Linked DNA regions of Astyanax mexicanus. The main gene of each other region encodes a partner of the protein of the gene in region 3 in a complex. Links are inferred from orthologs where the notes say so. Each region holds a gene or a part of one and is shown on either strand. Other genes may lie near its edges.

Region 1 (12,101 bases), on a different chromosome or scaffold from region 3:
TTTAAAAGTAACCTTCCCAACACTGTCTACCATAAGGCTGATCGAGCATTCACATATAGATCAATATTCACACAGTGCATATTAGGTAGAACTTCACATCAAAAGCAGCATTTCTGAGACTAGGCTACAGCCGAAGTAGGCTGTGTTTCTCTGAAGCTATGTCATAGAAGGCTGTTTCAAAGTAAACAGACCTGTGTAAATGGCTGAGAAATGCAATGATGTACACCCTTTCATGCCCTAAATTATCAACAGTTCTCTGTGCATGCACAACCTGAAAGAAACCAAAACAACACTTGAAGTTGTGTTGTTTCTGGTGATTTCACCATGCAGACCTCATTAGACTGTTCTTCATAGGACAGTCTTACTGAGGACCTGTGCACTACATTCTTTAAAGCTAGTGTGCTTGTGTGTTTAAGGGAATAATGGGAATTCCTAACAACTAGTAGACAGGGGGAGTACTGCATAATTCATTAAGATTCATTGGGAATTTTTCTATTTCTTCTTTTTAAAAGTAGAAAGCACAGGGTTAGGGTTGGTTCCTGTCTTATTATTATTTATATTATTTTCAAAGCATTAGTGCAAGTTGTATGTAATGTAAAGTCAGTTATTGGATTAAAAGTAAAGAAAGACATCTCTGATGACTCTCCAAAAAAGAAACTGTTGACCCCTGCTGCAGGATCAAGCCAGATGCACTGGATGTTATTTTGCACAGCCAGCTCTTTTGCATGCTTATGCAGATCGTCTTTGCATTGATGCATGCTCACGAAAGCAGCGAGATGAGCACTTGGTCGTCTCGTCCTTGCCACAGCATCTCCCCTTCAAAGTGCACCAGCCCCTGCCTCCGGGCTCGCAGCAGCACTCCCACCACCTTGTTAGAGATGCTCACGTAATGTTCAAACAGCGTTCCAAACTGCACGGCTGCCCTGCCGTCCTCTTGGCTCTCGCCGATTTCTCGGATGACCTGACACAGTTCCTGCACCTCCCTGCTCACATGGGAGTGAGCGTCCTGCCCTCTCTGCTCTGTTTTGGAACCCTCCGGAGGCCTGCCGTAGCTTTGCTGACCCTTCTGCAGCTGCACAGCCGGTGCCTCATTGTTGCTGAAGGGATTGTGTTTCTGATACTCCTGATGATCACTGGACCATTTCAGCCAGCTCTGTGTTAATCCTTTAACTGAAACATCACCGGGGTCTGCTCCGTCTTCACATGGCTTGGCTGCATCCTTTGTCTCCATAGTTTATTTCACAGCCATTGAAACCCCCTTTACAACAGTTGCCTCTGGAACAAAACACACTGTTAGTGATTCATTGGCTCTGAATAGGGTGCATTCATGTGTTATGGGCCAGCAGGTGATACAAGACTCTGGTTATGTTGTGTTTATTTACACTGCTAATGGGCACATATGCAAAACTGAATAAATTAATTTATCTTGGCCATAAGTGTAATATATGGAGTTTATGTATAAACATCATACAGTCATGTAAACAATTAGGATCCCTTGTCTTTTTAACATTTTTAAATAATGTTATATGTGATGTTTTGGATTGAGAGGTAGAACTTATCTAATTACAAAAACAAAAAAACAATCATTCATACAATGACATTAGGACACCTCTTACCACTTAAAAAGCCAAAATTATTCTGATGATTAGAACATAGACAGGATTTTGGAGGAGCCTGTCTTGTTTAAACCTCAGACATTTAGGCTCTGTTCAGATACAGATACAAATATGTTTCTCGAATATGATCTGTTGACATGAATGTCTGTACTAAAGTAACAAACCAATCTGTATGCACTGCAGAAATAATGACATAAACATTAGTAACTAAACATATGTGCAGTGGCGCAAAAAGGGGGTATGCAGCGTATTCAACACATAGGGGCGCTGCACTACAGGGGGCGCCAAATCGATGCCGGAAAATAATTTCTAGTCGGCATTTTCTGTAAGAGCTGTTGGTTCATGTATGATAATAGAATATAATAATAATATAATAATATAATAATAATACACAGGGGCGTGGCGTGGCCTGGGCTTCCAGTAGCCCCGAATCGTTTTACTCAGCTCAGCTGTATTATTAGTGAGGAGACAGGCCGCTGTGAATGGAAAATCTCTTGACGCGAATCACGGAGCCAGTTCTAGGATAAAGTTCCGCCTTTCAGGAGAAACAGCCAATCAGCTTGCTGGTTTGCGGAGCGCGGTGGGCTAGTAGGGAAGCCCCCGCCCAAGCCCCCCCACTGCCTCGCTGGGGAGGATTTTTGAGGGTTTTTAAGTTCTTGCACCGGGTTTCAGCACTGATGTTAAAACATATCTGGATATACGGAGATTTTTCTAAAAGAAAGGTAAATGAACTAACCATGTAAACTGTGACGAGATGTTTCTGATAGCTAGTTAAAAAGACCCGTCTCTGAATCAAAACACACAGACCAAGGTTTGAAAATGTACCTGATCAGCCAATAACTGTTTCATTTTCAAATTGTTTTTATTAATTTAGGATTGCAGGATTACTGTAAGCTATAATTAACGAAAATGTATTTAGCTAACCAGTTAGCTATAAGCTGGATGTTGTCGAAAGCCAGAATTTAGTATTATACTTAGTTTAAATTAGTTTTTTAACCCTGTTCTCTCCTCTAAAATTGTATGTTTTTCACCCGATCCAACTGATCAGCTAATAAACTTATATAATCAACTGGGCTGAGCCCCGGATTTTTAAATACCCAGGCAACGCCCCTGATAATACACATCAAAAAACAAAAACATGCACTCATCAGGCGCCCATACACTCCTTCTCCACCTGCAGGACAGGTGCTGTATTTACAATATAACCGATCATAACAAGTAAGTAAGTAGATGGTGAATCATAAAACTAATACGTTATAGAACAGGGGTCAGCACTGTATTTTATATTACATAACTGATATTCTGCATCTTGAAATCATTTTTGAAGGGGGGGGCGCTGGTAGTATGTTTGCATACACCTCAAAAAGTATGTAGGTTTACCCCTGCATATGTGTATTGTTGGATCCAAACACTTCAATCGCTCTGGACTTGATGTAGTTGTTACTTATCAAGCTGTGACGCAAAAAATCCAGGCTGAGAAACATCTGTAAAAATCCAACTGGATTTTGCACAAATTGGATATTTTTCAGTCTATATTTAAAAAAAAATTAATCAGTATACAACCATGATGTGCCAAAAATCAAATGTGGGCTGGCAGTCTAACTTAACAAATACATACTGTTGATAGAGTCCTCAAAAACATAACCTGTGGTCTTCCAACTGTGTTCACGAACATACATATCAATATTAACACACATTCTTGCTTTCTGTTTGCTTTATTTTGTTTATTTGTGTTTATAAGTCACTAAAGTGTACCCTGTCACCTGGTGGCCCATATCACCTGAACCTACGTTAAGAGATCCAGCTACAGTGATCCTTTAAATTATGTATCAGGTAAAGTACAGCCAACAGCACTGTAATCACAATTGTCTTTGCTCTTAAATAAAGAAATTGTTGCAGATGCATTATTTTCACACTGTAGTATAAATATCTTGTAATGCAAAAAAGCAATCTACTGAAGATTTAAATAAATATTTTCTGACTTTCCATACATTTAAACTCTCTTAAAGCAGTAAACAGCTCTAATTGAACAACAATGTTCAATTTACTAAAACATCTACCTATAAATTGCAAAATCAGAATAAATGATTCAGAAACTAAAGTGGTCTCATTTTTTTCCAGAGCTGTATATTGCAATGCAAAAAAACAATCTATTGTCAACAATATTTAAATAAATATTTTCTGACTTTCTCTAAATTTTAAATCTTTCTTTCCATTTACAGTCGATGGAAAGAATGTATAGCAAATAAAAATTTAAAAAATGTTGCAGATGCATTATTTTATTTAAGAAATACTGTAGCTCACACTGCAAAAAAATATTTTGTCAAAAAGAAATTCCTGACATTTCTTGACTTTCTATAAATTTTAACCTTCTCTTTTCCTGTACAGTAGATGTGAGCAATGTATAATATTTTTTTATTGTTGTGTATGCTAATCCTGCCAAAAACAGAAACAAGGACGCCTCGAAAATGTGAGAATTAATAATACATAAAGAACAATAAATAATAAAATAATAAAAACTTTCATTTTACCAAAGTGCATTTTTTGCCCATATATGCAGCAATGTGCTGCCAGGGACAATATCACTCCATACATTCAGTAACTAAAAAAGGTAAGAATATAACTAAAAATATGTAGTGTATGTATATGTAGTAAAATAAGAGGCGTATAAGATCTGCACTAAAGTGCACAGACACTATACAGAGCTCCGAGAGGGTGGATATAGGGGGGGAAAGTAGTGAGAATGAGAAGAGAAAGAATTAAGGGAAACGATAAGAAACAGTTACATCGTTATGTTGTGTTCGTTGGAAGTAAAGGATTAAAGTAAGGAGAGTTTTCTTACCCTGCTCTTTATGAAGAAGAGCTGCTCCAGTGACAGGGCGCTGCTGCTGCTGCAGACACTCACACACTTTCAGAAATAACAATAAGACAGAACTGCACGACTTCTGATTGACCAGTGAAAAACACACCCTCAGACATCACTGTGAAGCTGTCCACTTTTTCACCTGCTTTCTTACCTACGCCTGGGGAGTCTAAATCCGATTAAGAGACACATTTAGAGCTGCTACTGAATCCTCTCGAAAGCAAGAGTCTGTTCTGGTCGTTTATTCTAAAAAACAGCACGAAGACAAGCAAGAAAAGTCCAGAGACTGAGTGAAGAGTGAGTAAAGCCTGTGTCTGAGTTGTGTATTCTCCTGGTTTATAAGGTTAGTTAACGTTAGTTAGTGTGAGTAAAGTCTGACAGCAGGGCGGAATATAGACATGTACACATAGACGCCGCATCGATTGACGCCGCCTATTGGCGCTGGCGTATCAGTGAGGCCGCCATATTGGAGGAGTCAACCACGCGCCCCAGTTATTAGTACTGAGGAAGGTGAATAATGCATCTATAATAATCACAACTCTACCAATTTATACCCAATTTCACACGGTTTGTTTTGTTTCTAACAGCAGAGATGTGATAATGATACAAGACGCTGTCTCACATTACAAATACGTGTTTTCATGTTGAAATACTTTAAATTATGCTCTTTTACAAAGACAGACATCTGGTATAGCATATAAATAAATGTATAAATGAATTCATTTTATGTTTATATGTACGTACACACACACTTAATACACTTAACCATACCTGTCAAGTCTCCCGTTTTGGCCGGGAAACTACCGTATTTTACTCCTCTTTCCCGCCGTCCTCCCGTATTAGTATTTTCCCGTAAATTTCCCGTATTATATTAAGATTAAAAAATATATATTATTGAGGAGACAGGGCACTGACCGCGCTGTGTCTCTTAACCAATCGTGGAGCCGGTTCAAGGAGAAAGTCCCGCCTTTCAGGAGAAACAGCCAATCAGCTTGCAAAGGAGAGTCAGTGTGGTGAAGCCCCTAGTCGCTGTGAGTTCAGGCAGCTAGTCGGAGCTGCTGATGTTAAAACATATCTGGATATTCAGCGATTTTTTTTAAAGAAAGGTAAGGGTAAGCTAATCATGTAAACTGTGATGAATTTTTTCTGATAGCTGCTTAAAAATACTCGTCTCAGAAATAAAACACAGATTAAACCTTTTAAAATAAAAAGATTACAGCTTGTGACTCAGTTTAACTAGAAATGTGGAGAGGACCGAAATTAACTGAACTGATCAGGGGTTGAGTAATCAAAAGAAAGAAGTATTAATTAAAAATTATTAATTGTGTAGGCCACTTAGGACTAATTTTTACTGATGGAATATATCTGGTCCATGTCCTTTTAGTAAAGGCTCATAATACTATTTCTAGGTCACATACAGTCATTTTGCAGAATTTGTGCACCCTTTGTTCAATTTTAAATCTATTAAATAAATAAAAAAATATATAATATAAAAGAGTGCATTTATGGCAAAAAAGACATGAAATCTTAACTTTTTTTATATCTAGAAAAGGATTTTTAATTTGGCTGTATTAAAAGAATGACATATGTAGGAATGTCCACAACATTTCAGATTCTGATAATCTAATTGTAGTGTGTAAGTGGTTCACATGTGGTTATTTTAGATTTTTTGTAAACGTGTCTTAAAATGTAAGGGATACTGAACCTTCGTTGGGCTGGTGGGACGGCTTTAAGCGGACAGAGGAAAATATCCCTTATTTTTAAATCTAAAACTTGACAGGTATGCACTTAACACATTAATATGCCATACCATATTTCTGTCTGTTTCTTTGTTAAAGACCATAATACAAAGTATTTCAGGAAGAAAGCACATATTTGTAACGTGAGACAGCGTCCTGTATCACAACCACATCTCTGCCGTTCATAACAAACCAAACAGTGTGAAAATCGGGTAAACATTTTCAGTACTAATAAATGCACTGGAGAGCATGGTTGACTCCTCCAATATGGCGGGCAGTGTTCTGTCGAGTTGTACTAACTTGTCAAACCGTGCAACGGGACGATATAAAAAATGCTCCCGACAGAGGAAGATTTGGATGTTCGGATAAGCTACATCACTGTATCAGGCAAAGTTATGGTCATATAGGTGATTAGAACCCGTTTTTTTAAGTTTATTATGTATATATTTTTTATTTTCCATTTTTTTTAAATTACCATTTATAGCTTTGTAACATACAAGCAGGTGCTTTGATGCACCAAAAGAAAACAGAATTATCATAAAACACATGAAAACATAAATAAGGACGATTGGCGCATGCGCAGTGCTGTTAAGAAGCACATATCGGTGGGTAGCATAACTCGACAGAACACCGGCTGCTACTCCAGGAGGCAGGCTATGCTGCATATCTCTTTGTATACATGTCTTTGGGGCGGAACCCGCTGTGTTGTGGTTGAAGCTGCTGCGCTCACCCGGACGAGCTGCAGCACTCAAACATGGCGCTGCACTGTGGCAAAACATGCCGACAGTATTTACTCCATTTAGCTCACGATAACGTGGACTTCAGACTCCCGGTACGGAATTTAACTGTTTTAAACTGTTCAGTCTGTTAATGCAGGTGTTTGGAGATGTCTGTTTTGTGAGATGTGATGCTGTAAATCAATATATTATTAGCTGGTTTGGTTAGCTAAGCTAGCTAACCTAACATTCTCAGGCTGAGCTTCATTCACTGACTGTTGATGAATAGCTGTATTTACAGTGATAAGTTTAAGTAACTCTGTGTGATTTTTCTTTCTTTCAGGAAATTAAAGCATTGCTGTCCCTCAGGGGTCGACAGTGTGAGCCTTCAGAAACCTTCAGAGAAAAGGTGGAGTCATTCCTCTTTATTTAATTAATTAACTATGCACTGTTGTTTTAGATTTTGTGGATGTCAAAATAATAATAATAATAAAAATAATAATAATAATCTTAATATTCTGTGTGAGCGATACATACATAACAATTTTAGTTTTAGTTTTTTAATTTTAGTTTTTTTACAGCACCATCTAAAGTCTTGCTTAAGCGATTTGTTTCCTTTACATTAATTTTTTTTATTATTATTATTATTTTTTTTTTTTTACAAATATTAGGCATTCCCTTACCTTACAGCAGCTTCTGTCCTCTGACAGCTTCTATATAAAAGATGTACAAGATGTCGATTATCCCATTTTTATGTGTCAGTGATTTTTTTTTTTTTATATTTTACACTTTTCTTAACTGAAATATAGGGATGTTATATTTGCACTATGTTTTATGTAAAAGCTGCATGTAAAAATGTTAAAATTAAATGTAAAGAAAACAATAGCTTGCGCATCAGTTTTAAATCATGGTTCACCAGTCTTATTCACAATGGGTTGGTGTGCGTGCTAAACTACACAAGATGTGTCTTTGCTATCATTTACGGATATGATTGGGTGACCCTTGCTTTAAATGGTGCTGCTTGTTTATGAGAATTGTGCATATATTTTAAAAATAATAAGATTATAATTTTGTTTTTGCAATATATCTCAACCCAGTCAAATGTTTGAACGCACCTTCTCACTCAGTATTTCTTTACTTTATTTATTTTCTACCTTATACCCTCCTGTAAGACGCTGAGAAGTTTAAAACATATTCTGGTTTGTTTAACACTTTTTATTAACTACATAATTTCGCATGTGTTCCTGCATAGCTTTACTGTCTTCAGTATTACATTAACAATGTAAAAAAAAAAAACATAAAAAAAAAGAAAACACACTAAATGAGAAGAGGTGTGTCCAGACTTTTGACTGGTTCTGTACATGAGTAAGAAATGAGGGTAGCCTGGACCACTTAATAGAAAAGCTCCCAGCATTAAAAAAGAGTAGGTTGGATGTGTGGTTGGATAAAGTTTAATGACTTAACAGAAAATGCTTCCAATATTAAATCAGTAGTTAGGATGTGTGGGTAGCCCACATCACTTATCAGAAAATGCTCCCAGCATTTAAAACAGTAGCTAGTTAAAAGGCTTTACACTAGATAAAGGAACATGGTTCCACTGATTTGAATTTTAACCACAATTTTTTTTATTGAAGCCAGGTGCTGATGTTTATATGATTTACTTATGGATCAAAAGTGACAGGGGAGCTTTATATCCATGGTAAATTCATGCATTGCTGCTCTCATGTGTTCTATTCAACTGGCAGGGCGTTACAAAGCTATTTATGCTCAACAAAATTTCGCTGATTTTTTTTTTCACAGTCTCCGTTTTGGCGACTGCATGGCTTGTCTGAGGAAGATGTGCGAAGTGTCATGTCACGGACTGTCTGTGCCAAGTAAGTCTCATTCGTGTTATATCACACTAAGCGGTTATTCACTTTCAGTAATGTGAACATTAGCACAGTTCTTCCTACCTCAAGGCCACCTTGTGCAAGATATCATAACATAATATTTGCTATATATTCAAATATTGATAGTAGTATTTGTGAATGTAACTGCAGGTTGTGTGATGTTTTTATGTAAATGTATGTTTACACTCATTCTGGGCCTGGAAAATCTATTTTAAGGGTGTGTTTTAATATGTTGTGTAAATGCATTCTATGTTTTTTTTTCTTTTCTTCTTAAGGTCTGTGTTTGAGCTTTGGGGTCATGGGAGAACAGCAACTGAACTGAAGTCATCATTGATGGAATATCCCAGGGAAAGCATGGTTTGTGTTTTTTGATTTAACAGTTTAGTCCACATTTAATATGCTTTTTAAAATTAAATCAGATTTTTTTTGTCCTTAAACCTTGATGTATATTCCAGGCTACCTTTCTACAAGATCAATCAACATACAAGATTAATGTCTACACTTTCAACAAGACACTGCTGTTCAATGACAGAATAAAGAAAATAGATGTGAGTACGCTGATATAACCACAACATTGCAGTTTTTTTTTTTTTTTTTAAATCGTTGCATTATTTGCATAGAAGACCACTTTTTTTTATCTGTGTGACCTCTTAGAGTAGGCATGGAGAATGTCGTCAAATCCTTACGTTCTTAAATAGTATCTTGAAGCTGCCTGTTTTTCTTTGTCTGACAAACTACAAAAGGAATAATAAAACTGAGCTGTGATGTTTTTTATGACAATGAAATTGCTGTCACTCCACAGGCCTTGGATTACCTGCCATTTCAAGGAAAAGTAAACCTGAAGGATCCTGATCACATTTTCTGTTTATTTGAAGACTATGGACTAGACCCAAATGACATCCCAGAGGAGCCACTCTACTTATATTTTGGAAGATGGGTGAGACCCATTTTTTCCAATATTTCTCGCAGTTTATTAATTTTTAATTCCAATAGTTTGGATGAAGTACTGGAGGCAGGCAGGGGATGACCTAATTAGACAGCAAAACAGGAAGTGCCAGACTGAACCACTTGTAGCCCTTATGATTAGTATCATGATTAGTAGCTAAAAAAACACAGGGTGTGTTTATGGTAGCAGCTTTTTGTTTTCATGTCTTTGTTTTACAAGACTTACAAGGTGTCCTCTATGATTCAGGCTAGAACTAGTTGATTGGGTTCAATATTCAGAACTATGGTGATATTAGGCAAACATACAGCTGTATGGAGTAAGACTAAAACTTAATCATTGCTTATTAAATCATATGATCTTAATATTAGTGTTAAAACATATTTTGATATATACATGTTCTTTTTTTGGGTTACATTGTGGGTAATTTTCCCAGACAGTGACTAGGCGTAGTCATAGACTAGAACTTCCTTTTAATGGTAAATCTCCATTTAAAATGCTGTCTATTCCAAGACAAGGCTTAATCCCTGTCATGGGAACTGTCTTGTTTGTTTTTGACATGGATTGTTAAAGCTATAAAATTAAATATTGCTATGGCTGCATTGCACATAGCACATGTATTTACTGAGCAATCTATAACTACATAAAATGCTGCTCTAATGGTGACTAGTTTTGAAGCTTTGTGTTGTGTGGTAGTGTATGGATTGGGACACAGCCACGCTAAACTAAAGCATCATACAGAGAGGAAGTTAAATCACAGGTGTGGCAGGGCAAGTCTGCACCCTCAATGAAGTCTGCAGATGTTAGCATTGTGATGTTGGTGGAACTAGTTGGTGATATTAGAATTTGACCATTCATAAGGCAAGCTGCAAGATTGCATACAAAACAATCATCTTGTGACGTTGTGTTTGTATTGTATTCTCATTTCAAACTCACCATCTAAAAACAGACCGATCTGCTCAGGTGGTCCACTTGTTTAGTACGCTCACAATTACTCTAAAATGAATTGTCATGTTAGTGCCTTTTGTTAATCAAACTAAAGCTAACAACCATAAACTCACCCTTAGATTAGATGAAACAGGATTGTGGGTCAGTTTAATTTTTGTTGAGAATCAGCATCACCTTAGAAAATTTGCATTTCTTTGGAAACGTTTATTCTTCCAAAAAAGACAAAGATAAAAAAGGAAACTACAGTAGTTTTTTATTACTATCTTGGATTGGGAAATATAAGACTAAATTTGCATTTCAGTATTTCGCTTGAACCGTGCCCTGTCTTTAGCAGCATTTGGCATCATATTTTTACCTGTTTCTTTCTTTTAGATTTCAGATGGGCAAAGGGAACTGATCCGCTCTCACAGTGTGAAGAAGAGGCACTTCATTGGGAACACCAGTATGGACGCAGGTCTTTCTTTTATTATGGCAAACCATGCCAAAGTAAAGCCTCTGGATCTGGTCTATGATCCTTTTGTTGGAACAGGTGAGGAAAAAACTGTGTAGCAAATGACAGTTGGCTAACCTATGAATTACTTTTTATTATTTTGCCATTTTATTTGGACAGATACAAAAACATGTCTCATAATTTTTTAAATATGAATAATTTAAAACTACAGTAGATCAAAACCCATTCTGTTAGTGTGATTTAAAAAAAAACAAACATGATAATGCTTCAGGAGCACAATTGCTGTGATATGTTCCTTTGACATATCATGAATATCAAGCCCTGAAGCAAAAGTAGACTGTACAATTGTAAGACAGGGTTTAAGATTTTCCCATTGCAGTAATCCATTGTGGATTTTGAAATGTGTATACAGTAAAATAAACCATCAGGATGTAGAAAAGAGTTTCTACTTATGACTTGCCTGTGAAGGTCATATTTTTGCAAGATGTTACTGTACAGTAGAACAGTGAATCTCTCCAGAGTCACCAGAGTTCTTCTTGGTGGTCTTTTCATGTCAAACAAGGGTTTATATGAGAAATCTTCTGAATGAAAAGCTTCTAAAAACACTTGAATACAATTAAGGCTGGACGATATAGCAGAAATTGATATCAAGACACATCTTTTCTCGTATATATTTATTTACTTTGATTCAAGACAATTTAAATCACGAAATGAGCAGTATAAAAGTCACCAACATTGTTGTACAGAAGCACTCACTGATCTGAGCTGGGTGATATGGTATACATTTTATATCACATTATTTGGCAGATTTTGCTATTCTGTTATTCCAATTCTCTTTTATGCCTGTACACTGATTATTTAATTGTTGCTGCATAAATTAATTCATAATATTTATAGTCTGAAATTGAATGTACAGATGGGTCTATTAATGTTTAT
Region 2 (11,072 bases), on a different chromosome or scaffold from region 3:
TCACCTGGAATGGTTTTCAGTTGTGCTGAACTCAATTCAAGAATTAATAACTTGAATTTCTTGTCTCTTAATGTGTTTGAAAGCATCAGTTGTAAAGTAAAAAAAAATACTTTCAGAAATGAAGGTCAGTCAATTCGAAAATAACTTTGTCAAGAACTCTGAAAGTATTCTAAAGTGCAGTCACAAAGACCATCAAAAATATTATGATGGAACTGGCTCTCATCAGGACCGCCCCAGGAAAGGAAGAGCAAGAGTTCCCTCTGTTGCACAGGGTAAGTTCATCAGAGTTACCAGCCTTAGAAACCACAAGTTAACAGCACCTCAAATAGCGTGTGCAGAGACATATGATGGCATACATCAGCTATTTACATATAATATTTTGTAGACTAACTTGCCAAACCTGCACTGTCAAGTTAAATAAAACCTCTGTACCTTCCTTTATCAGTGTGTAGCACGCCTGTACTACATTAAGCTGCTATAACACAGGACTCTCAATGAATGTAAGCACACTTACTGATGTGAGGACCCTGGTGTCGGGGGGGAAGGTCTGGAACGTTCTGCAGGCCTGCAGGTCTATGGGGTCACGCAGATAAAAAGCAGAAACAGCGGGGGCTATCAGGTCCGGTCGCCGTGACAACAACGCAGCTATACCGGCAGGAACGTAACAGTGAGCGTGATGGAGACTAGTCTGGATCTTATCTGGATACCTGTACAGACAGAGACACACACACACACACACATCGATTATTAATCAGATAAAAAAGGGGGACAAAAAAAGCTACATTTGATTTGCAGAATTTTATTTAAAAAAAGCAAACTGCCTTTGTACTAATGCTGTCATTTTAAAGAACCTTTACAGAAATATTAGTGTTTACATGAAGAATAAACCCAACAGTTAAAGTAATTTTACTATCATCATCATTTAGTAACACAACAGCAGTGCACGTAATGTAAACATACACTCTGCTGTTATTCTTAAACACTTCCACACAATGTCAGAGTCAGACCTGAATATTATTGAAAATCTGTGGTGTGATTTAAAGCAGGTCGGTTCATGCTCAGAAACCATCAATCCTGACTGAACTGGAGATGTTTTGTAAAGAAGAATGGTCCAAAATACCTTCAATACCAGAAGCCAGACTCTCATTGGAAGTTATAGGAAGTTTTTAGAGGCTGTTATTTCTGCAAAAGGAGGATCTACTAAATTATATCATTTTTGTTTTGCAGTGCACAAATTTATGCACCAGCCTAATTTTGTTTAAAAAAAATATTGCACACTTTCTGCAAATCCTATAAACTTGATTTTCTCTCAAACATCAGTGTTCATCTTCTATATGATATATTTAACTGAAATTGCTGATCCAAACAACCACTGATTTCTAAAGATAAATCATGAGAATTATCAGAAGTGCCCTTTTTCATACCACTGTATGTTTGTAATAGTTTTATGTGTGAGTTTTAAAGTTAACATTTTTTAACAGATTCTGCTCTTGAAGTAAAGGTTAGACACCAGATACAGCAGTGCTGCTGGAGTTTTTAAACACTGTGTTCACTCACTGTCTTCCACTCTATTACACACTCCTACTTAGAGATGCTCCACCTTGTAGATGTAAAGCTGGAGACATCTAGAGATATAAGTTCATTTGTTACTGCACAGATGTTGGTCATCCTCTAGGCCACAATTATAGATATATTACATAACTACAAAGTGATATGATCAAAATATGATCAGTGAAGCTAATAAGATGACTGCAGTAACAAGAGGTTAGCCAGACTATGTATATTTTTTCTCAGAGATCAAGCCAAGTAGCCTCGTCTCTCACCCCTCCAATCTGTGGTCAATTGCAGATCGGATCCGTTTTTCTGCAAGACAGCGGTCAGCATGTTTGTGCAGCATATCCAGAGCATCCTTCAGCAACGGCACTGAATCCCGAGGCCAGCCAACTTCTCCAGAACGACCACGATTGGGTAATATGTACAGCCCCCCCCGGTACAAGAACACCTGTATAGTGATGAACAGACAAAGCAACCAATCAGCAGACAGCCAGGCATTCACTTATTCACAGGAATAAACATACAGTGTCTTGCAAAAGTATTCATACCACTTGAACTTTCTCACAGTCATCTTACAACCACAAACTTAAATGTATTTTATTGAGATTTCAAGTGATGGACAAACAAAAAGTAGCATATAATTATGAAGTGTAATGACAATGATACATGGTTTTCAATTTTTTTTCCAAATAAAAATCTGTGTGATGTGCAAAAGTGCCTCCAGTTGTTTTTTCCAGGATTGCTGGTGTTTAGCTTCATCCATCCTGCTATCAACACTGATCAGCTTCCCTGTCCGCGCTGACGAAAAGCAACCCCACAGCATGAGGCTGACACCACCACGTTTCACAGTGGGAATGGTTTGTTTAGGGTGATGAGCAGTGTTACTTTTCCACAACGACAGTGCTTTGCATGTAGGCAAAGAAGTTTAACTTTGGTCTTTTCTGACCACAGTACCTTTTTCCACATGTTTGATGTGTTGCTACATGACATGTGGAAAAGTGCAAACAGCAATTCTTATCTCTTTCTTTCTACAATGATTTTGCTTTCCTTGTAGAATACCTTTTCCATATTAGGATGATTGATTGAATAGTGCTCCTTGGGTGCTCAAAGCTTGGGATATGTTTTTATAGCCTAACTCTTATTTTAAACTTCTCTCCAAGTTTACCTCTGACCTGTCTGGTTAGTCCCTTTATGATATTGTTTGTTCATTAGTGTTCTCTAACAAACCACTGAGGCCTTTAAAGAACAGGTGTTTTTTATACTGAGTCTAAATTACACACAGCTGGACTTAATTAACAAATTAAGTTACTTTTATTTAGGGGGTTTCAGAGCAGTACTTTTGCACATCAAAGATTTTATTTGAATTTTGAAAACCATGTATGAATCTCGTGTTCTGCTTTAACAATTATGTGCTACGTTGTTTTGGTGTATCAATTAAAATCTCAATAAAATACATTTAAGTGTGTGGTTGTAAGGTAGCAAAATGTGAAAGAGTTCAAGGGGTATGAATACTTGTGCAAACCACAGTAAACATAATACCTCCTCTATGCTTACCCTGTTCTCACTGCTGTCGGGGTCGAGCCATTTGGGCAGATGTTCGGCCGCCTCAATCAGCAGGAACTGGCCGTCATTGTCATGGACAGTGGCGGCTAGTTGACTGAAGGTGCGTGTAAGATGTTTGAGCAGGTAAACGATGAACCACTCGTCCTCAACGTTATCACCAAACTCTGTGCTGCCTCCCAAGTGTGCTGGGACTCCCCCTAAAAAACAGATTTAGCACTGTTTAATAAACAGACACATGGCAACTCTAATAAAACATGACATTAATTAGTGGATTGTGAAGTTCCTTTAGTCATAATGGGTACATCCTTGTGTACACTACTCTCAAAGTTCACTTCAAGAATACACAGTAGTATTACTGTAGAGCTGCAACATCGTCGATTTTTTAAATTTGCTGACTCCAAATGTCAGTGTTGACTAACCGATAATTTGTTAAAAAAAACAACAACAACAACAACAACAACAACAACAACAACAACAACAACAACAACAACAACAACAACAACAACAACAACAACAAGCATTTAAAACTCAGGCTGTAGGCTCCTACCTTTCTCTGGACGGTAGCTGAGGTTGAACGGCTGCTGCTGCCAAATGTACTGCACCAACAGAGGAGCAACTTCAGCCAGCAGGTCCTCCTGAAGCTTTAGGAGGGTCTGTTCACTGGCCGCAGAGTCTGGCTGGACTAGAAAGAGCCTATAGTGAACCACATCCTCAGGCACAGGCACTTTCTTAAGAGGGTCCATCACAGTGGTTGGTAGTGCTGAGCAATCTATCAAAATAAGACAGTAATCAGTAGGGGTGTCACGATTCTCTAAATACTCGATTCGATTTTATTTCCGATTTTCTTTTTTCTTTTTTAACAGCAGAGATGCCTATGCCAGTTTTAGATTAGTCTATGGTCATTCATTGGTTTGATTCATCAACTTTACAATATCTTATTTCAAAAGGTGGGCTCGATATAAGTGATACGAATTGATACAAGTGATCTGTAATACACCACATTAGGCACTAATGGTCAAATTTAAATAATTCAATTAAGATATATATGTAATGCCATCTAGTGGCTTTTTTGGTAGCAGCAGTGTGCACTATTAAAACAGCAATATGCAACATAATAATGCAACAAAAAATATATATAAAAAAAGGAACAGTCATGTACAAAATAATAGAACAATTAGAGCCTTAACAAACTGAACTCTATCCTGCTATAACAGTTAAGCATGAAAAATAAGACTTTAAGACTTTTTCGGTCCCTGAGAATGACAATTTTTCTTTAACAAAAGATATATTATTAACTTTATCTAAGAGAAAGATGCTCCTTAAGGTACCACAACTATTAACATATTTGAGGCTAGACAAAACAACTGTTATTTTTATATTTTCAATTTTTTTTTGAGGAGATGAGAATGTCCACATTCTCTGGAGAAATGGCTGCTCTTTTCTACCCTATTCTATCTGTTTAAATAGAACAGTTTATTTAGGAGTTATACGAATTGTACAATAACACTGCTAGATAAATGTAATGTAAGTTACATGTATATATTACCCAGACAGCAAAGTTAATTTTTCCATCGCTAATACACTGAAACAACATTGATCTCTAATGTCAGAATGTATTATTTTGTGCACATCGAGCAGTAACAGCATCTGTTCCAGCATCGCTTTTTTTAAAGAGAAAAATCTGAATAAACTTTATCAATAAACCTGATCATGTTCCTTTAGCAGTTAGCTAGTCATGCAGTAACGTTATTAGTTAACATCATAACTGATGACTCCAACAAGAAAAACCTGAGTATAAACTCGGTTCTAAAAGATACAGAGGCGTCTTAAAAGTTCGGACGTGTCTATAAAGTGAGCAGGATTCAAAACCGGCTGATTTAAGAAGCTTTCACTTACGCTACTGTTTATTACTTCACTCCATCAGACATGTAGAGCTCATCCAGAACGCAGGCTTGATGTTTTGCACATGCGCACAACACACAACCTAAAGCTACTCACCAGCTTAGAAAGAGTCCGGTGTCAAATTAAAAGTTCTTGCAAGCGCAAAGATAAAATTGTAAATGCAGCTCAGATGTACAGCTCTGGAAGAAAAATTAAATAATAAGAGACCATTTCAGTTTCTGAAACAGTTTATCTGATTTAGCTATTTAAGGTCTATTTTTGAGTAAAATTAACATTGTTGTTTTATTCCATAAACTACAGACAGTTCTCCCAAATTTCAAATAAAAATATTTATTGTCATTTATTTTCAGAAAATGAAAAATGGCTGAAATAACAACAAAAAAAAAAAACTTTCAGACCTCAAATAATGCAAAGAAAAAAAAAAGTTTATATCCATTACTCTCTTTCTATATTACTTTTTTTTATTTCTAAGATTTCACATGGCATCCACACTGAACCATCAGCACATCAACATCTTCTGATCTAAGGTGTGAATTTATGTTTGTGTCTGAATCTTCAATATATAAAATAAAGAAAATAAAGAAAAACATTAAATAAAAAGTTGTGTCCAAACGTTTGACTGGTACTGTATTCCTAACTAATGCTTTTATTTTGGCAGGTCGCCTAGTCTAACCCGGATGTTGTATGGTTCTGTATGTCCTGCAGAGCCCATGCGTTCTTGTTTACATCAGACAGATCCTTCAGACTGATTTAATCTGTATTAATTCAGTATATTTATTTGTGTAGAGCTGATGATGAGAGGGGCGGGGGTCTCGGCGGGGTATTACTGCACTGCAGGCGGCGGTATGGAGACCTTCCTGCTGGATGAAGTCAAAAACAAACTGAAAGCTACTGAGGTAACTTACAGAGTTCTCCCCACAGTCCTGATATAAAGTGAAGTTAAAACCGATTTAAATCGAATTAATGTAAAGTAGAGTTAAAACTGAGTTAAACTGAATTAAACTCCCCACACTCCAGATATAACGTGGAGTTAAAACTGATTTAACCCGAATTAATGTAAAGTGGAGTTAAAATTGAGTTAAAATGAATGAAACTCTGCACACTCCACATACAAAGTGAAGTTAAAACTGAGTTAAACTGAATTAGGCTCCACACTCCAGATATAAAGTGGAGTTAAACTGTATTAGGCTCCAAACTCCAGATATAAAGTGGAGTTAAACTGCATTAGGCTCCAAACTCCAGATATAAATTGGAGTTAAAACTGAGTTAAACTGAATTAAACTCTCCACACTCCAGATAGAAAATAGAGTTAAAACAAGGTTAAACTGAATTAAACTCCCCATACTCCAGATAGAAAGTGGAGTTAAAACTGAGTTAAACTCACCACACTAGATAGAAAGTGGAGTTAAATCTGAGTTCAACTAAATTAAACTCACCACAATACAGATAGAAAGTGGAGTTAAAACTGAGTTAAACTGAATTAAACTCACCACACTTCATATAGAAAGTGGAGTTAAAACTGAGTTAAACTGAATTAAACCCACCACACTCCAGATAGAAAGTGGAGTCATAATTGAGTTAAACTGAATTAAACTCACCACTCTCCAGATAGAAAGTGGAGTTAAAACTGAATTACACTCACCACACTCCAGATATAAAGTAAGGTTAGGCTGAATTAAACTCAGCACATTTCAAATAGGAAGTGGTGTTAAAACTGAATTAAACTCACCACACTCCAGATTTACAGTGGTGTTAAAACGAGTTAAACCGCATTAAGCTCACCACAGTTCAAACCTTTAAAGTCCTTGCCACCGTACACTACTCACTGTCCACTTTATTATAAACACATAGCTACAGTTTTTACAGCTGTGTATTACTGGAAAGCAAAAAACTGTAATCAGCATTGTGTTATTACATTAGCATGATGTTATGTAATAATTAGGGGTGGGTGATATGATTATAAAATAATGTCAATATTTATTATTACAAAATATATATTATTTCAAGAACATACTACTGCAACAAAATTAATATATTTTTTTATTTGGTGATATTATTGCTTAGATTGCAGTTCCACAAGCTTTTGGCTAAGTGTTGGAGTCCAAAAACATTTGGCTGAATGGCGGAATGCAAATGCATTTAGCTAATAGTGTCCACAAACTTTTAGCTAAAATGAAGAGTGGCTAAACTTCTGCCCAAAAGACTGTTGGATAGTTTTATGAATATAAATCATAAAACTATAAATCATAAGCATATATGCTTGGTTCTACAACTCTGCTGAAATGTGTTTTTGTAGCTTAAAAATTGTGGGCTGTAGTTAGGTTACAAATTTCTGGTTGAAATTAAATTTACACATTTCAGGGCTTTTTTTTATGGGAGTTTGGGCCACAATGTTATGAGACTACAGCTTGTTATTATGATACTGCTGTTGCAATTATGATTATACATTTTTGTAATTATGACACAATGTTTTGTAATTATAAGAAAATACTTATTTATTAAAATATATCACTAAAACGGCATGTGGTGTGACAGAATAAGAGAGAATATGATATTTAGTAAACTGTTTAAACCATCGTTATTCTGATAAATGAACCTTTTACTTGTGTGTCTGTGTGTTAGGTGGAGCATATCCCTGGCCGAGTGTTTTTCCGCTGCACTTCAACTCTACAGCAATTGATGTTATTAAAATCTGCAGAGAGGCTCTTCCTGCTGCTGCGCAAGGCTCCTCCCATTACCCTGCCCAAAAATCCAGGTGTGCTGCTCGCATCATACAGGTGTGCAACAAACTTAAATGCGCAAGATTTGTAGTTACTTCTTATTAGAAATTAGAATATTATATAAGACTTAATTACTACTTTTGGCAGTGTGGGCTTTGTGGCAATTCCTGCTGGAAAATAAAATTTGCATATTTGTAAAAGTTGTCAGCAGAGGGAAGCATGAAGTGCTGTAAGATTTTTGGGGAAAACACTGCAGTGACTTTAGACTTGATAAAACACAGTGGATCAACACCAGCAGATGACATGACTCTCTAAACCATCACTGATCATCAGTTAATTTTACATTTCATTTGGAAATCATGGAACCAGAGTCTGGAGGAAGAGTGGAGAGACACACAGTCCAAACTGCTCGAGGTCTAGTGTGAAGTTTCCACAATCAGTGATGGTTTGAAGAGTCATGTCATCTTCTGGTTTTGGTACTCTCTGTTATATCAAGTCTAAAGTCAGTGCAGTGTTTTCCTAAAAAATATTACAGCACTTCATGCTTCCCTCTGCTGATAACTTTTATGGAGATGCAGATTTCATTTTCCAGCAGGACTTGGCACACTTCCCACACTGCCAAAAGTACCAATTGGTCTTATATACATATTCTAATTTTCTGAGACTCTGACTGACATCAACAATAAAATAAATGAACGCTTAAAATAGATCACTCTGTGTGTAATACATCTATATATATATATATATATATATAACTGAATTAATGAAATAAAGTAACTTTTCAACAATATTCTTTCCAATACAATACAGAACATCTGTGTTACTGAAAAGGGTAAAATATGGATTTATTGGTGTCAGATTCACAACACAAACGCTTACTGCAACTTTTCCGTTTATTGCATTAATATTATTCCAGTGTTGTAAAATAGCCACAAACTGCCATAAATAAATTTAAAACACAACTACACTACTGTAAACTGTAAGCTGTGTAACATAAGCTTACAGGAGAAAAAAATTAAAACCAAAATACATTAATTCAGTATTTAATGGCATATATTGATAATGAAAACTATACAATATATTGCTGTATCGATACATTCTCACACCTATATTAGGTCAATCACAAGTATGTCTTACTCTTGAAAATTCTTTCTTCAGCGAAAGCAGCGGACGTAATAAAACAGAGCATTGTGGGAAATCGAGATGTTTGGAGCCACACCCTCAAGTCCTGGACCTCCCTGCAGGCGGAGCTTAATGGCCCTCAGGGGCGGGGTCAGAAAAGAAAGAGGGATGAAGGAGAGAAGGAGGAGAACAGCAGTGAGAGTGGTCAGAGTCGCCCCACCTTCAGAGTCAGCTGCCGCTGCAGTGGAGCCATCGCTCGCTGCTACAACTCCCAGGTGTGTGTGTGGGGGAGGACATACAGAATTTATATACAGAAGATATACACCAACATGCCAAAACATTATGATGGCTTGCATTTTGATGGACTCTGAGATGCTCCAATACACACACAAAAGCATTCCTGCTTTTTCAATGTTGTGCGGCCATAAGAGAAATAACTGACAAAATGATTAATAAATAACATGTTCTAAATGTGAGCTTGTGATCACAAATAAACAGTACAATACAAATAAATCTACACATATATTTTACTGTTGGTTTGACATTTACCTTACCTTTACCCTTATAGAATTTGAGTCGTATCATTGGGGTGGCCATCAGCCGACAGCTTGGGTGGAAAACTGATCTTCGAGATCCATCCATTGAGGTAAACACTAATCCTAACCTTAATCACAACCATAACATTACTAATCCTAACCTTAACCCCAACCATAACATTACTAATCCTAACCTTAACCCCAACCATAACATTACTAATCCTAACCTTAACCCCAACCATAACATTAGTAACTCTAACCTTAATCACAACCATAACATTACTAATCCTAACCTTAACCCCAACCATAACATTACTAATCCTAACCTTAACCCCAACCATAACATTACTAATCCTAACCTTAACCCCAACCATAACATTAGTAACTCTAACCTTAATCACAACCATAACATTACTAATCCTAACCTTAACCCCAACCATAACATTACTAATCCTAACCTTAACCCCAACCATAACATTAGTAACTCTAACCTTAACCCCAACCATAACATGAGTAACTCTAACCTTAACCCCAACCATAACATGAGTAACTCAAACCTTAACCCCAACCATAACATTACTAATCCTAACCTAAACCCCAACCATAACATTACTAATCCTAACCTAAACCCCAACCATAACATTACAAATCCTAACCTTAACCCCAACCATAACATGAGTAACTCTAACCTTAACCCCAACCATAACATGAGTAACTCAAACCTTAACCCCAACCATAACATTACTAATCCTAACCTAAACCCCAACCATAACATTACAAATCCTAACCTTAACCCCAACCATAACATTAGTAACTCTAACCTTAACCCCAACCATAACATTAGTAACTCTAACCTTAACCCCAACCATAACATTACTAATCCTAACCTAAACCCCAACCATAACATTACAAATCCTAACCTTAACCCCAACCATAACATGAGTAACTCAAACCTTAACCCCAACCATAACATTACTAATCCTAACCTTAACCCCAACCATAACATTACTAATCCTAACCTTAACCCCAACCATAACATGAGTAACTCAAACCTTAACCCCAACCATAACATTAATAACCCTAGCCTTATTACTAACTCTAACCTTAACCCTAACATTAATATCTTTTATCTTAATACCAACCACAATGTTACTAACCACTGTCTTAAACCCAACTTTAATGTGGATCTGCAAAATAAACCTCTTATATTTTATTTACATTTACAATTTTGTTTTACTTGTGTCTCATTATCTGTGCTGTGTATGAGCTTTGTGTTTTGTCTTCTCTTGAAAAAACAGGTAAATGTGTACTTAAATGATGACCACTGTGTGATTGGCATCCCTCTCTTAAAGTAAGTCTCTAAATGCAGCTCTGTATCATAACATGGGTAAGTTCTGTGACTTGTACCAATAGTGGAGCCAATGTTGGTCCTATGTAATCCTCTAGGCATCCACTGGCCAGTCGCAGTTATATGAAGCACACTGGGCTAAGGTCCACTGTTGCCTGGGCCATGGCGTCCCTCTGCGCTGTACAGGTAAGGTTTTGTAGTCTGTTTCTAACTGTTAGAAAGATACATCATCAAAACTGTGGTACATAGAGTGTTTGTCTAAATATTTGTTGACACTCATAGTAATGAATGCATTCAGTACCTTTAAGTTGCGCCCACGGCTGACAC
Region 3 (10,653 bases):
TTCATTTGGACTACACCCTCTCTTTCTTCTACCTCTCCCTTCCCTCCGTCTCATTGTTAATTACAGTTCATGAACTACATGATCGTTAATCTTTCAAAAACAGCTTTACTGCAGATCTCCACCTCCCCCATTATAAGGTTATTATAGTGGCAGTCAGAGGGCTGTAATTGAACTTGAAGAAGTGGGCTAAACACAAGACTAAACGCTGAAAGGGCTTAAGAAATGCGCTCCAAGGCATAGAGACACCAAGCTATGAATTCTTTAGTAGGGTGGTTGATACCACTGCATGAAAATAGAGTGTTTTTTCCTGTTGAAACATGACTTAAGGATTTAAGCGTTTATTCAAACGCAAGAGGATAAGAAAAGGAAAAATCCTTATTTGGATTTGGAGGGTTTGGCGACACCTAGCGCCCACTGAAAGGGATAAGGGCGGAGGGATACAGCATACAAGGTTCTGGTGGTTAGCGGAAGGATTAAAATACTATATTTAAAAATAGCGACCCCCCCAAAAATGTAGTGCTTTTTTCTGGCTTCTCACAGTCTAAATATAATCTCAATTTAAAACTCCACGTCATCCTGAACTCAGAGCTTGGCATGTGAAGTTTTGAGAAGCTTCACAAAAAAAAAAAAGAAAATTAGGCAAACTTTAAAAGAGCCTGCAATTAAATGGGTCCAAACACCTTGTTGACATTTTAACAGTTCAGCATTCTTTTAATGTTCAGATCTATTTCAATTTAGGTATCACAGAAATGCACAAAGGCTTTGGAATCAGTCAGATGTTGTTCAACACACAGCAGGTAATTGTTATGATTTTAGAAATCTGTAGTGACTTATAATTAAGACATACTTCAGTTTGAACTGTCTGGAAAACCAAATACACTAAATACCAGGTACAGCAGTGGTGTAAACACTCCAAAACAAGTTTATTGAGGTGGTTGGTGAGGTAAAGTAATATAAAAAAAAAAATCTAAAATGAAAACATGATCACAGATCGCAGCTTAAAGGTGTCTGTGCAAGTATACTATTATATTGATAGTGTTTTGGTGATAATAGTCAGATAAGTGGAACTGCATTATATTGCAATGAATAAAAGTGTAGCATGTCTGTTGGTTTGTTTTAAGCTTAATTTTTTGTTGTATTTTAGCATAATTTATTTACTAAAATGTAAATTATTCACAGTTTGTTAATATGAAATGTACACTGTAGAGAAGATTATGAGAGTGGGTCTAAAACAATGTCTAACATTTCAGTGCAATGTCTAAAACAAAATGTAGCCAGTTCATTCACAACTCAAAAGAACCGGTTAATTAGTATGTTGTCTAAATTGCACATAAAGCAGATAATGGTAAAATATTGGTAAATAAGATTGTTGATAAGAAAAACCTTTACTATTTTGCAATGCAATGCCCAGCATGTATTTTACTATAAATGTATATGTATTTATAGTAAAGTAAATTAAAAGGAATTGCTTTATATCGTAGCCATTTAGTGTTATCAAACCTACTGATTTAGTTTTAATGTGTAAAGTTTGCAATTACCATTTAGTATATAAGTGCGCAACTGTGTACAAGAAACAACTTGAAGGATAGACAAAGGCAGACTACATAAATATGAACATAAATAAAAACCCACCACCAGAGAGCAGTGTTCCCAACGTCCTACTCTGAAATTATGGTGAAATTTTGCCACTGTACACTATGTGTAGAGTTGCTGAATAATATACCTTACATTGTTAATTTATGTGAATAAAAATATAGTGATTGCAAGTTTTTTTAAGACAATACATATTTATTTTAAAGTATATTACAAAGCATAATAAACAAACAAACAACTTAAAGAACAGGGCATACAAGAGCTGCAAGAATTAGGGACAATTTTTCATTCTTGCCAATATTTCAATCCATGTCCATCCATTCATTTTGAAGACTTGTTGCAATCCAATTTAACTCTGCTTCTGTCCAATTTAACAACAGTGGTTTTTTTTCATCATTTGTAAAAAGGAAGATGAAACATCACCTATGACTCATCTTCATTGAGCAGCATGTTGGGGACTCCTTTAGAGATGGGGAATTCTCTGCCTGATTCCGGACACTGTAGAGATCCCTCAATGACCTCCACCTACAAACAAGAAGACACTAACAGCTGTGAGTGAGGTATATTACAAGTAATACTCTGTATTTTAACTGATTACTGATTTTAAAAATAATGGACACATATCTTACCTCGAGCAGAACTCTGTGTACTTTACGTAAAAATTCTGCATCATTCTCATAGTTTTCTATGGGTGTGCCAGGCAAGTCCTGCAGGTGTCCCAGCTATAAAAACATATGACATGTTCACCATCATTTCACTGAAACAACCTAAAACAGTGATGCAGTTTGAAAAAGATCATGGTCCCTATAACCTTAGTACCACTTACCCCTTCCGCTGCCTGGATTAAAGCACTCCACTCAAGCTTTGGTATCATTCTGCTCACAAACTGAGGGTTGAACTCCACTTCGTTCACTTTGACCTCTGTGGCCTTCGGAAAATGGCAATATGAGAATATTTTAATGTATTTTGATACATTTTAACATTTTATAATACATTTTTGTAAGCATATCAAATAATTTCAGTGCTTGACCAACTGTGACAAAAAGTGTAATTAGTCCTGATTAACTGGAATACGTGCAGTATTTAAAAAAAAACTGTAGTATGTTGCAGTCTGTTTGACACAATATTTAATATTGGTTGTTAAGGTGGTGTTAATGTGACCAGAAAGTAGTAGAACAAACTTACTTTTATAATCTTTAGATAATTTAAAACAATAAAACTGGAGAAACATAAGTATAGTGAGGAAAGTGCCTCCTGAAGAGCTGCGCGAGGATTCTAGAGATTGCTTTGGATAATTTATCATCTGTTAGCCAACAACACTGATATATATGACCTGAACACAACTAACTGAAATGCCATTTCTGCTGCATCCAGCTTTGTGACACGCCCTGGATATTACAGACATTATCTTATTTACACCTGTAAACACTTTTGAAAATAGGCTTTAAAACCCATAGACTTATTTTCTGAGTGTAGCTGAAGCACCAAATCACAGTCAGAACATTCTAACAGTAGAGGTAAGCTCCTGTAATCAAGGAAACTTGTGCATTGCAGACTATAGCTACTGGTTTTACAAATATCTGGAAACGTGTGGACGGGCCTAATCAAATGTTATTATTAATATTATCCTTTGGGCAGCTTTTATTTGCTCAATTTTAAATGCAATTTGTTTTAAAAACAGTAAACCAAGAGTTTACTATCATTACACTGTATGGCAGTAAACACAAACGACTATACAGTTCTAAAGTCTAGTCCTAGAAAAAACACGAGTATTGTTAAATTAATTAATAAATAATCATTATGATGATCATGAAACGCCTGATATACAGAAGAAAGTGAACTGCAGGAAATTGTAGGGTTTAATAAGAGCAGATTAACCCGTTGCTGCTGCTGCCCTGCCTGGGTTTCTGTGTAATACAAGCCTGACTAAACTGGATGCGATGCTAGCTTCAGCATTAGCTACTGAAGAAGACAAAACATCAGACACACACAACACCAGCAACACAACTGAACAGCTAATACAACCTGAGGTGGGACAGAAAATTCCAGATAATCTGTTAAATTAAAGGCCAACTTCCGATTCATGCCAGTATGGAGACATTTAATGAGTGAACTAACGTTACTGGATACTAGGTTTCAGATGAGCTAGCTAACTGCTTACCTTTATCAGGAGTGGGTATCCATTAATTACACCTTTAACGTGCGAGGTGAGCATGTTGTGCGTCAGCAGCTTCATATCTGTGTAAGCTGGATCTACAGGTTTTGTGTAAATATAATAATATATAAGTTATGCTTAGTCGTTAGCTTTCCTTAGCGCCTCACGTGTATTTCTGCTTCTCGGATTAAACAGCGGCTACAGCCAACATCATAGACCACACATACTGCCCCCTGCAGGACACAGTGGCACAACCGTGAACTGAGTTACACTGATCAAATAAAGTATAATGAGTAAGATCTAATTCGTTTTCCAGACATATTAAAAAGCATATTAAAATAATATGGACTTTAATAAAAATAACTGTTAATACCAATTATTGCCGTAAAATAAAATCCAATAAAATGAGAACGCTTTTTTGTTTTGTCCCAATTAATGAAAATGCACATTCATTTAACCTTATTTCAGTATTTAAGGCAATATATCGAATTCGAATTATTCAGGAAAGTCAGTTTAAAACAACACATTTTTGACACCAGAAGTCAATAAAACAACAATAAAAACAAAAATTCTAGCAGCTGTCATGCAGACTTTCTGGACAGATTCAGTGTTACTGGCAGATACAGCTCCAGAAAAAAATAGAGAATGTTGAGGTTTTAAAGTTTAATGAATAATATTTTTATACTTATTACGAATATAATAATATATTAATATAAATATTATAAATGGCTGTTTAAAGAACAAATCACACTAATTAATTAACAGTTAAAAAGTACATTAATTTGTTTACATATCATTTAATATATATATATATATATATATATATACATTTGCTAGATTAAAAAAAGTTTTAAATCTTTCTGTATTTTGTGTCAAAATGTTTTTTATATTCTATATAAATATATATCAATTTATAAAATATAAAATAAAATATTTAAAAGAAATCACACTTATTATATTACATAAGCTGTGATAAATTGCTACTGACATGCCATTATGAAATATAGATATAAAGCAATGTATATAGATACACCTGATTAACATACTGCCACTTTTAGTTTTAAAAAATATGCCTTGGTTGAATTTGTATTAATTTTAATGCAATAAATTGCTATTATATCACACCTAATGACATACAGATAAAAAGAAAAACGCATTGTTTATAGACACATCTGATAAACATAGTATAACTTTTGTTTGGTAAAATATAACTTCAAAATTTAACCAAGGCATATTTTTCAAAACAAAAGTTGTAGTATGTTTATCAGGTGCTATAGAGTACAAGTGATTTTATATCTGTCTTAAGAGTGTGTCACAGTAACAATTTAATTCAAGGCATATTTTTCTTATATTTCTCTAAAAGTTGTATGTTTATCAAGTCTGTCTCTACAAACTACAAGTGATTTTATTTCTGTACGTTTTCACTGCATATTTTTCTAAACTGTGGCTAACGCAATGCATGGTTTAGACGCATACTCTGTTTTTTGGTGTAGATGCGCGACCGAGCTTTTTCTAAGAGGCAGCATTACTCTACCCGGTTCAAACCAGGATTATTACAATATTGTAATTTAGAGCATTTATTTGCAGAAAATAAGAAATGGCTGAAATAACAAAAAAAGATGCACAGCTTTCAGACCAGGGCTGTGCAAAATTCAGAATTACATTCAATTCAATAAACATTGAATTGAAATTACAGGAAGTGGAATTGAACTCATTGAAATAATAAAAAAAAAATCATTCTTATTAGTGAGTGTGATAAATTTTAACATACATTTTCTTCCAAATGTAAGTACAGGCACTAACATTAAGCATACATTCCCTTAATGTTAAATAAGTAACAGTATCTTCATTAAAAAAAAATGTGTATATATATTTTTGCAGATTGTTCAGGTATAGGAAAAATGTTTTTGAAAAGCAAAAAATACAGTCACCCCTACAATATAGCTATGTAATTCACATCCATAATTACCAAAGAAAGTACACCTTTATTCAAATGTACATGTTTTATTATTTTTGTATTAATTTGTTTACACATTGTCTTGGTATTATACAGGTCATTCTTACAGCTTATGATATAGCAGTAATTACAGAAAAAACACATAGCCAACAGATCACCTCAACAAAACAATGATCAACCCACTAACATGCACCTCTGCACTCATCCACGCATAAGACACTGTGTACATACACACACACACACACGCACACACACAATCCTACACTCACACCACTTCCCTTAATTTGTACTGTTTTATGTTTAACAAAAAGTGTGAAGTATTACCCACAAACCTCTTTCCACGCTTTCAGTCACTGAAAGCCATCCCTCATACACAGACATCATCACAATGAGTATGATAATCATGTTGTTAGTCATAATTACAAAATAAAATAAACAGTTTTAAAATTTAGAAAGGCAATAACAAGATGGAGCTAAGCAAGTCTGAATTTGGGAAAGCAAACAAAAAGGCTTTTTTTAGCAAAGTTTTTATGAACTACAAATCAAAACAAAATAGTGATTGATTAGAAAACTAATGCGTGGGTGCTATGCTACAGGAGCATGTATACGGTATACTGGCATTAGGAGGAGACAGACTTTGTCAAACTAATGGTCAAACTGATTGTTGCTCACCTTAATAGTGAACAGAAGTATGGCACAATAAACACCAGGGTCAGAGTTATGTGAATAGTCCAAAATCATAATCAACGGCTTGATGTTGACAGATATTGTCTCATTCTTCTACGCAGACATGAGCAATGTCACAGTTGTTATAGATGACAGAAAGAAATACTGAGCAATTTGAATAATTAAAGAAAGACAGCTAAACATCCTCGATGCCCCAGGTGTGTAATACGAGAAGGAAAGAAACAATAAACAGGTAATTTGGTAAATGGTAAACAGTGTTCAAGATCGATATGATTGCATACTTTCAGATAAGATGAGACGGCAGCGAATTGCACTTGGCCATCTACAGACAGCTTTGCTTGTACCAAAGTGCACACAGAAAATGTTTGCATTGCATGAACATGAAAAATGTGCAACTAACATCTGGAAGCCACTTAAAACATCTCAGGCTTAGCTGAGTGACAAATTTGTTTTCTTCTCCTTCATCATCATGTCTGAATTAATACTCACATTTTCACTCGCACAGTCACTCTACCATTCGCACTAGCAAAAAGAGTCATTTAGCAAGCATCTCTGACAGTCATTCTTGGCCGTCTTCTGTGCGCCACTTCAAGAAGTCCTCCTTTCGCGCATCAGGTTTGATTTGGTTCCGCATGCCTCCGAGTAAGTTGGACGTGGCCTCGGATGCCACTATTAAGGGACGCACCACAGTGGGTGGGATTTGACGCAAAACCCCACCGACCGCCCCTGGAAGACCTTTCTGCTCGTGCCCACGAGAAGCCACGTCACACAGGGTCTGAGCCGTGTCAATCACTCCCTGCAAAGCAAAGAAAGAGGAAAAAGGCTTCATCAGCTGAAGTCACAGTTAATAAGTTAACCTGTTAAAATACCTGGATGAATGAGTGTGGAGGTGCATGCTTGTGGGGAAATCATTTATTTGTTGGGGTGATCGGTTGGCTATTTTCTACTACTATTACTACTATATTATAAGCTGTATGCCTGCCATTGTGTATTGTGTACATCTATTAGGACATTTGAAACATTACAGATCCAATACAGGCAGCCAAGTTACCATGTTAAAGGGTATAAGTGATACAGCAGAAAATGTCCTTTATACAGTATACATATCAGTGTTAAATGCATAGTGTGTTTAATTGCAAGAGGCTGTATAAAAATAATACAAATAATAATAATAAAAAAATGTTTTTAGGTCATAAATCCAGTAAACAAAAGATAAATGTAGTAAATGGACTTTTGTGGCTTTCAGTCCCTGGAAACATTTTAGTGTTTTCCCTGCTTTTAGCACACTGACCCACTTGATTAACTGACTAGCTTACATCTAGTTTACATCTAAGCATCAATGAAAAGAAAGGCAGAATTTTACCTCTCTGACTGTGTCATAGGCCTTGGCCACCCCTTCTCTGAGGTCTGCTGGTTGGGGGGTTCGCCTGGGACGGGTGGCGGGGCGTCCTTCTGTGATGTACCGAGTCAAGGGTGGAGTTGGTGACAGGATGTCGTACACAGTTTCTGCAGTGGCCTGTGGAACAATACTTAAACTTTACCATTTGTGAATTTGAATCTACTGAAAGTGCCATTTATATTATTTTGGTGAACAGAACAAGGATCTTAAATGAGAAAACGAAAAAAGCCTGATCTAGAATGATCAAAGATATAAGTGAATATACCTGTATAGCCTGCACCAGCCTGTTGCTAAGCTCCAGGGCAGCAGAAGCTGTTGAAGTGCCAAAAGATGCTGCCCCCCTCTGTAGGCCACGGATAATGCGCCCATCTCTTCTATACTGCTCTATAGGCATCCAGAACAGATCCCGCACTCCATGGACTATAAGGAAGTAGAAAACAACCATAAACAAACCAGGGTAAAATATTAAAATATTAAGACATCACAGACATATATAAAAACGCTTTATATAAAGTGCTTTATAAAGCATACTCACAGAGCTGAACTACAGAATGCATTGGACCAACACCTCCCAGAATGCCTGGTAACTGATTCTTCCTGATGTCAGTTAGCCACTCATTCACAGCATACTGAATGACTTTATCAACACCCAGCAAACTAAGAGAAAAAGAAACATTAAACTTTTTTCTTAGAGAGATAAAAAGACAGATTAGTCTTTTTTAATTGGGGAACACATCAATACTAAGATATAGTAGGAAATCAGACTCGCCAAGCTATTCTAAACAAAACACTATGTATAAATTAAAGAAGTGTTCAGATGGGGGAAAAAAGGAGGCAAAATGTGATTTATGTAAAAGAAATTGAGCTAATTACCCATGCCTGCAGCACAGCCTCTTCAGCTTCAGCTCTGAGCAGTTCAGCTGGGCAAGGCCAATCAGAATTCCTGCAAATGTTCCCTTACAAAACAAAACAAGCTCTTAAATTACAGGATTAAATACAATGCACTAAGTAACCAAACAAAAATGGCCAGTTTGGCTGCACTGGTCAGCAGTCTTAAGGCCCTTTCAAACTGCATTCAAAAACTGTTACTTATGGACTGTTGTAAAGAAGAAAAAAACATTTTCTTTAGTGTTTGAAATAAATGAATCTTTTAAATTAAAAAGTCTGATTGCTCTTATATAGAAGTTTGTATTTTCTAAATTCTTACCTGTTCAATGGCCACATGCTTTCCATGGTAATCAAGCCAGATGGGAACTTCTGAGGTAAAACGGAACTCTCTGACAGGAGACAAAAATATTAAAACAGCTGTTAATCAAAAGATACAAACTAAGAAATCCGAGAAAAAAATAATACAGTTTGTTGTAATTAGACTGTAAATCTGGTACATGATTTACCTGAAATAAATTGGCTGGTCAGAAGAAGAGGAGGAACCAGCTGAAGAGGAGCTCTGCTCACTATAAGTTGTCTCCACAGAAGCAGTGAGATCAGGACCCAAGCCAGAGACAGGTTCTGCATCCTCTGACTGCTTTTGTGTAGCATCTGCCTTCACTGTAAAAGAAGGATAGGACAACGTATAAGAAATCTGCAAAAGCATCTATCCACTGCTAAATGTTGACTTGGGCTTACCTTCAGCTGCAGGGTCAACAGGCAGGTATGGGTTAACCCCAGCAGCCAGGTTGCTGAAGTAGTCCTTCATGAAGAAAAGTGCATCCTGGTGGAAATATAAAAAAAATTGGTTCTGTACAATTTTTTGTGTTCGTGTTATTTTTCAAAGGCTCCTGTTCTATTGATTCATGCAGTAATTCTCTTCAAGCATTTCTACATATTCAGATCGGTTGCAGTGGGTGCAGCTTAATGTAAATGACTGCAGTTACTAGAAGGAGTGTCCACAAATACTTGGACATACATTGGGTTGTGTCACTGTCAAAACATAGTAACTTTACAGGGGAAGAAAAAAAGTAAAGAACATTTTTATTCTGAATTAATTTTGGAGAATTTATTATGAAATAATATAATAATGTGATGGACAGCTGCTGTATTCAAATGATCCATATAAATAAGATACATATTTTTCTTTGGACAGTGGTGCGTGAACAGCGCTGCCACCAGTCTGCCAAATGAGCACTAGCAAAAGTTCCAACATAAAAAACGGAAGCCAGTAAAGCAATAATGTGGCTTACCTGGTCTATGTTAAGTCGGAGGGGCAGCAGACTGATCCTCAGGCAACATTCTGGGCCCCCCAGTCCAGACTCAGGAAGCACTTGCAGAGCTTTTACTGTCAACTACAAGACACATACATACAGCTAAGTTAAATACATACTGCAGCAATGACTAAATATGGGTCTTGAAGACAGTGGCTAGACTTATTTACCATGTTGGAGTGGGCTCTGCGGGGCATGCTCTCGCTGGTGTACAGGTACAGGAATTTGTTGATTTGGGATGAAGCCAGTCTGTCGCGCACCTCCAGCTCCTGCACGATGAACACCTGCCGGGATAGAGGCTGCTCACCGATCCCCGGGCCATCCACATCCTGCCCTGGGACTGCAGGGGGCGTCACCACAGGGTAGGATTCGTGCTGGAAACTGACCTAAAACAATAAACAGAAGGTTTATACAGTTCCTATACAGCAACAGTGTGCTGTGTTGTACCCATCTGCTAAAATGTACAGATAGTAAAGTAAAACACTCACTGAGGAAGAAACTTATATTATTTGTCACGGTTGCATCTATTGCTTGTACAAGATTATATAAAGAAAATATTTTCCCTATGTGTTTAACCTTAGTTAGCTGTATCTCCATTAGCAGCGAGTGCTGTCTACCACTGCCTCCCACCCATCGCCAGGAGTTCTGCGGTCTTGAGGAG

What was found.
Region 1: trmt112 (region 3) and trmt11 share a complex: the UniProt entries of both Homo sapiens proteins name them as parts of the heterodimeric TRMT11-TRM112 methyltransferase complex. The link is inferred for Astyanax mexicanus from reciprocal best matches to the Homo sapiens genes TRMT112 and TRMT11.
Region 2: trmt112 (region 3) and thumpd2 share a complex: the UniProt entries of both Homo sapiens proteins name them as parts of the heterodimeric THUMPD2-TRM112 methyltransferase complex. The link is inferred for Astyanax mexicanus from reciprocal best matches to the Homo sapiens genes TRMT112 and THUMPD2.

What each region holds. Positions count from the first base shown.
Region 1 is NC_064413.1:31,063,532-31,075,632, forward strand, and holds the start of trmt11 (tRNA (guanine(10)-N2)-methyltransferase homolog), read left to right. Parts: upstream 1-6,934; 5' UTR 6,935-6,972; coding exon 6,973-7,050; intron 7,051-7,277; coding exon 7,278-7,343; intron 7,344-8,734; coding exon 8,735-8,808; intron 8,809-9,098; coding exon 9,099-9,180; intron 9,181-9,278; coding exon 9,279-9,371; intron 9,372-9,625; coding exon 9,626-9,760; intron 9,761-11,086; coding exon 11,087-11,243; intron 11,244-12,101. Other genes in the region: si:dkey-29b11.3 (actin-binding Rho-activating protein-like), read right to left, coding at 761-1,231. UniProt on the Homo sapiens protein: Catalytic subunit of the TRMT11-TRM112 methyltransferase complex, that specifically mediates the S-adenosyl-L-methionine-dependent N(2)-methylation of guanosine nucleotide at position 10 (m2G10) in tRNAs.
Region 2 is NC_064421.1:32,504,544-32,515,615, forward strand, and holds the start of thumpd2 (THUMP domain-containing protein 2), read left to right. Parts: upstream 1-5,690; 5' UTR 5,691-5,810; coding exon 5,811-5,915; intron 5,916-7,641; coding exon 7,642-7,774; intron 7,775-8,897; coding exon 8,898-9,136; intron 9,137-9,429; coding exon 9,430-9,507; intron 9,508-9,563; exon of another isoform or gene 9,564-9,624; intron 9,625-9,690; exon of another isoform or gene 9,691-9,789; intron 9,790-9,855; exon of another isoform or gene 9,856-9,954; intron 9,955-10,053; exon of another isoform or gene 10,054-10,152; intron 10,153-10,185; exon of another isoform or gene 10,186-10,284; intron 10,285-10,317; exon of another isoform or gene 10,318-10,428; intron 10,429-10,695; coding exon 10,696-10,748; intron 10,749-10,843; coding exon 10,844-10,931; intron 10,932-11,072. Other genes in the region: ecd (protein ecdysoneless homolog), read right to left, coding at 515-707, 1,824-2,002, 3,109-3,314, 3,665-3,860. UniProt on the Homo sapiens protein: Catalytic subunit of the THUMPD2-TRM112 methyltransferase complex, that specifically mediates the S-adenosyl-L-methionine-dependent N(2)-methylation of guanosine nucleotides, most probably at position 72 (m2G72), in the U6snRNA of the major spliceosome.
Region 3 is NC_064417.1:41,865,605-41,876,257, forward strand, and holds trmt112 (multifunctional methyltransferase subunit TRM112-like protein), read right to left. Parts: upstream 3,953-10,653; 5' UTR 3,830-3,952; coding exon 3,755-3,829; intron 2,522-3,754; coding exon 2,420-2,521; intron 2,316-2,419; coding exon 2,223-2,315; intron 2,119-2,222; coding exon 2,017-2,118; 3' UTR 1,768-2,016; downstream 1-1,767. Other genes in the region: atg2a (autophagy-related protein 2 homolog A), read right to left, coding at 6,952-7,188, 7,756-7,908, 8,057-8,211, 8,327-8,448, 8,665-8,747, 8,999-9,068, 9,186-9,339, 9,418-9,502 and 3 more. UniProt on the Homo sapiens protein: Acts as an activator of both rRNA/tRNA and protein methyltransferases. Together with methyltransferase BUD23, methylates the N(7) position of a guanine in 18S rRNA.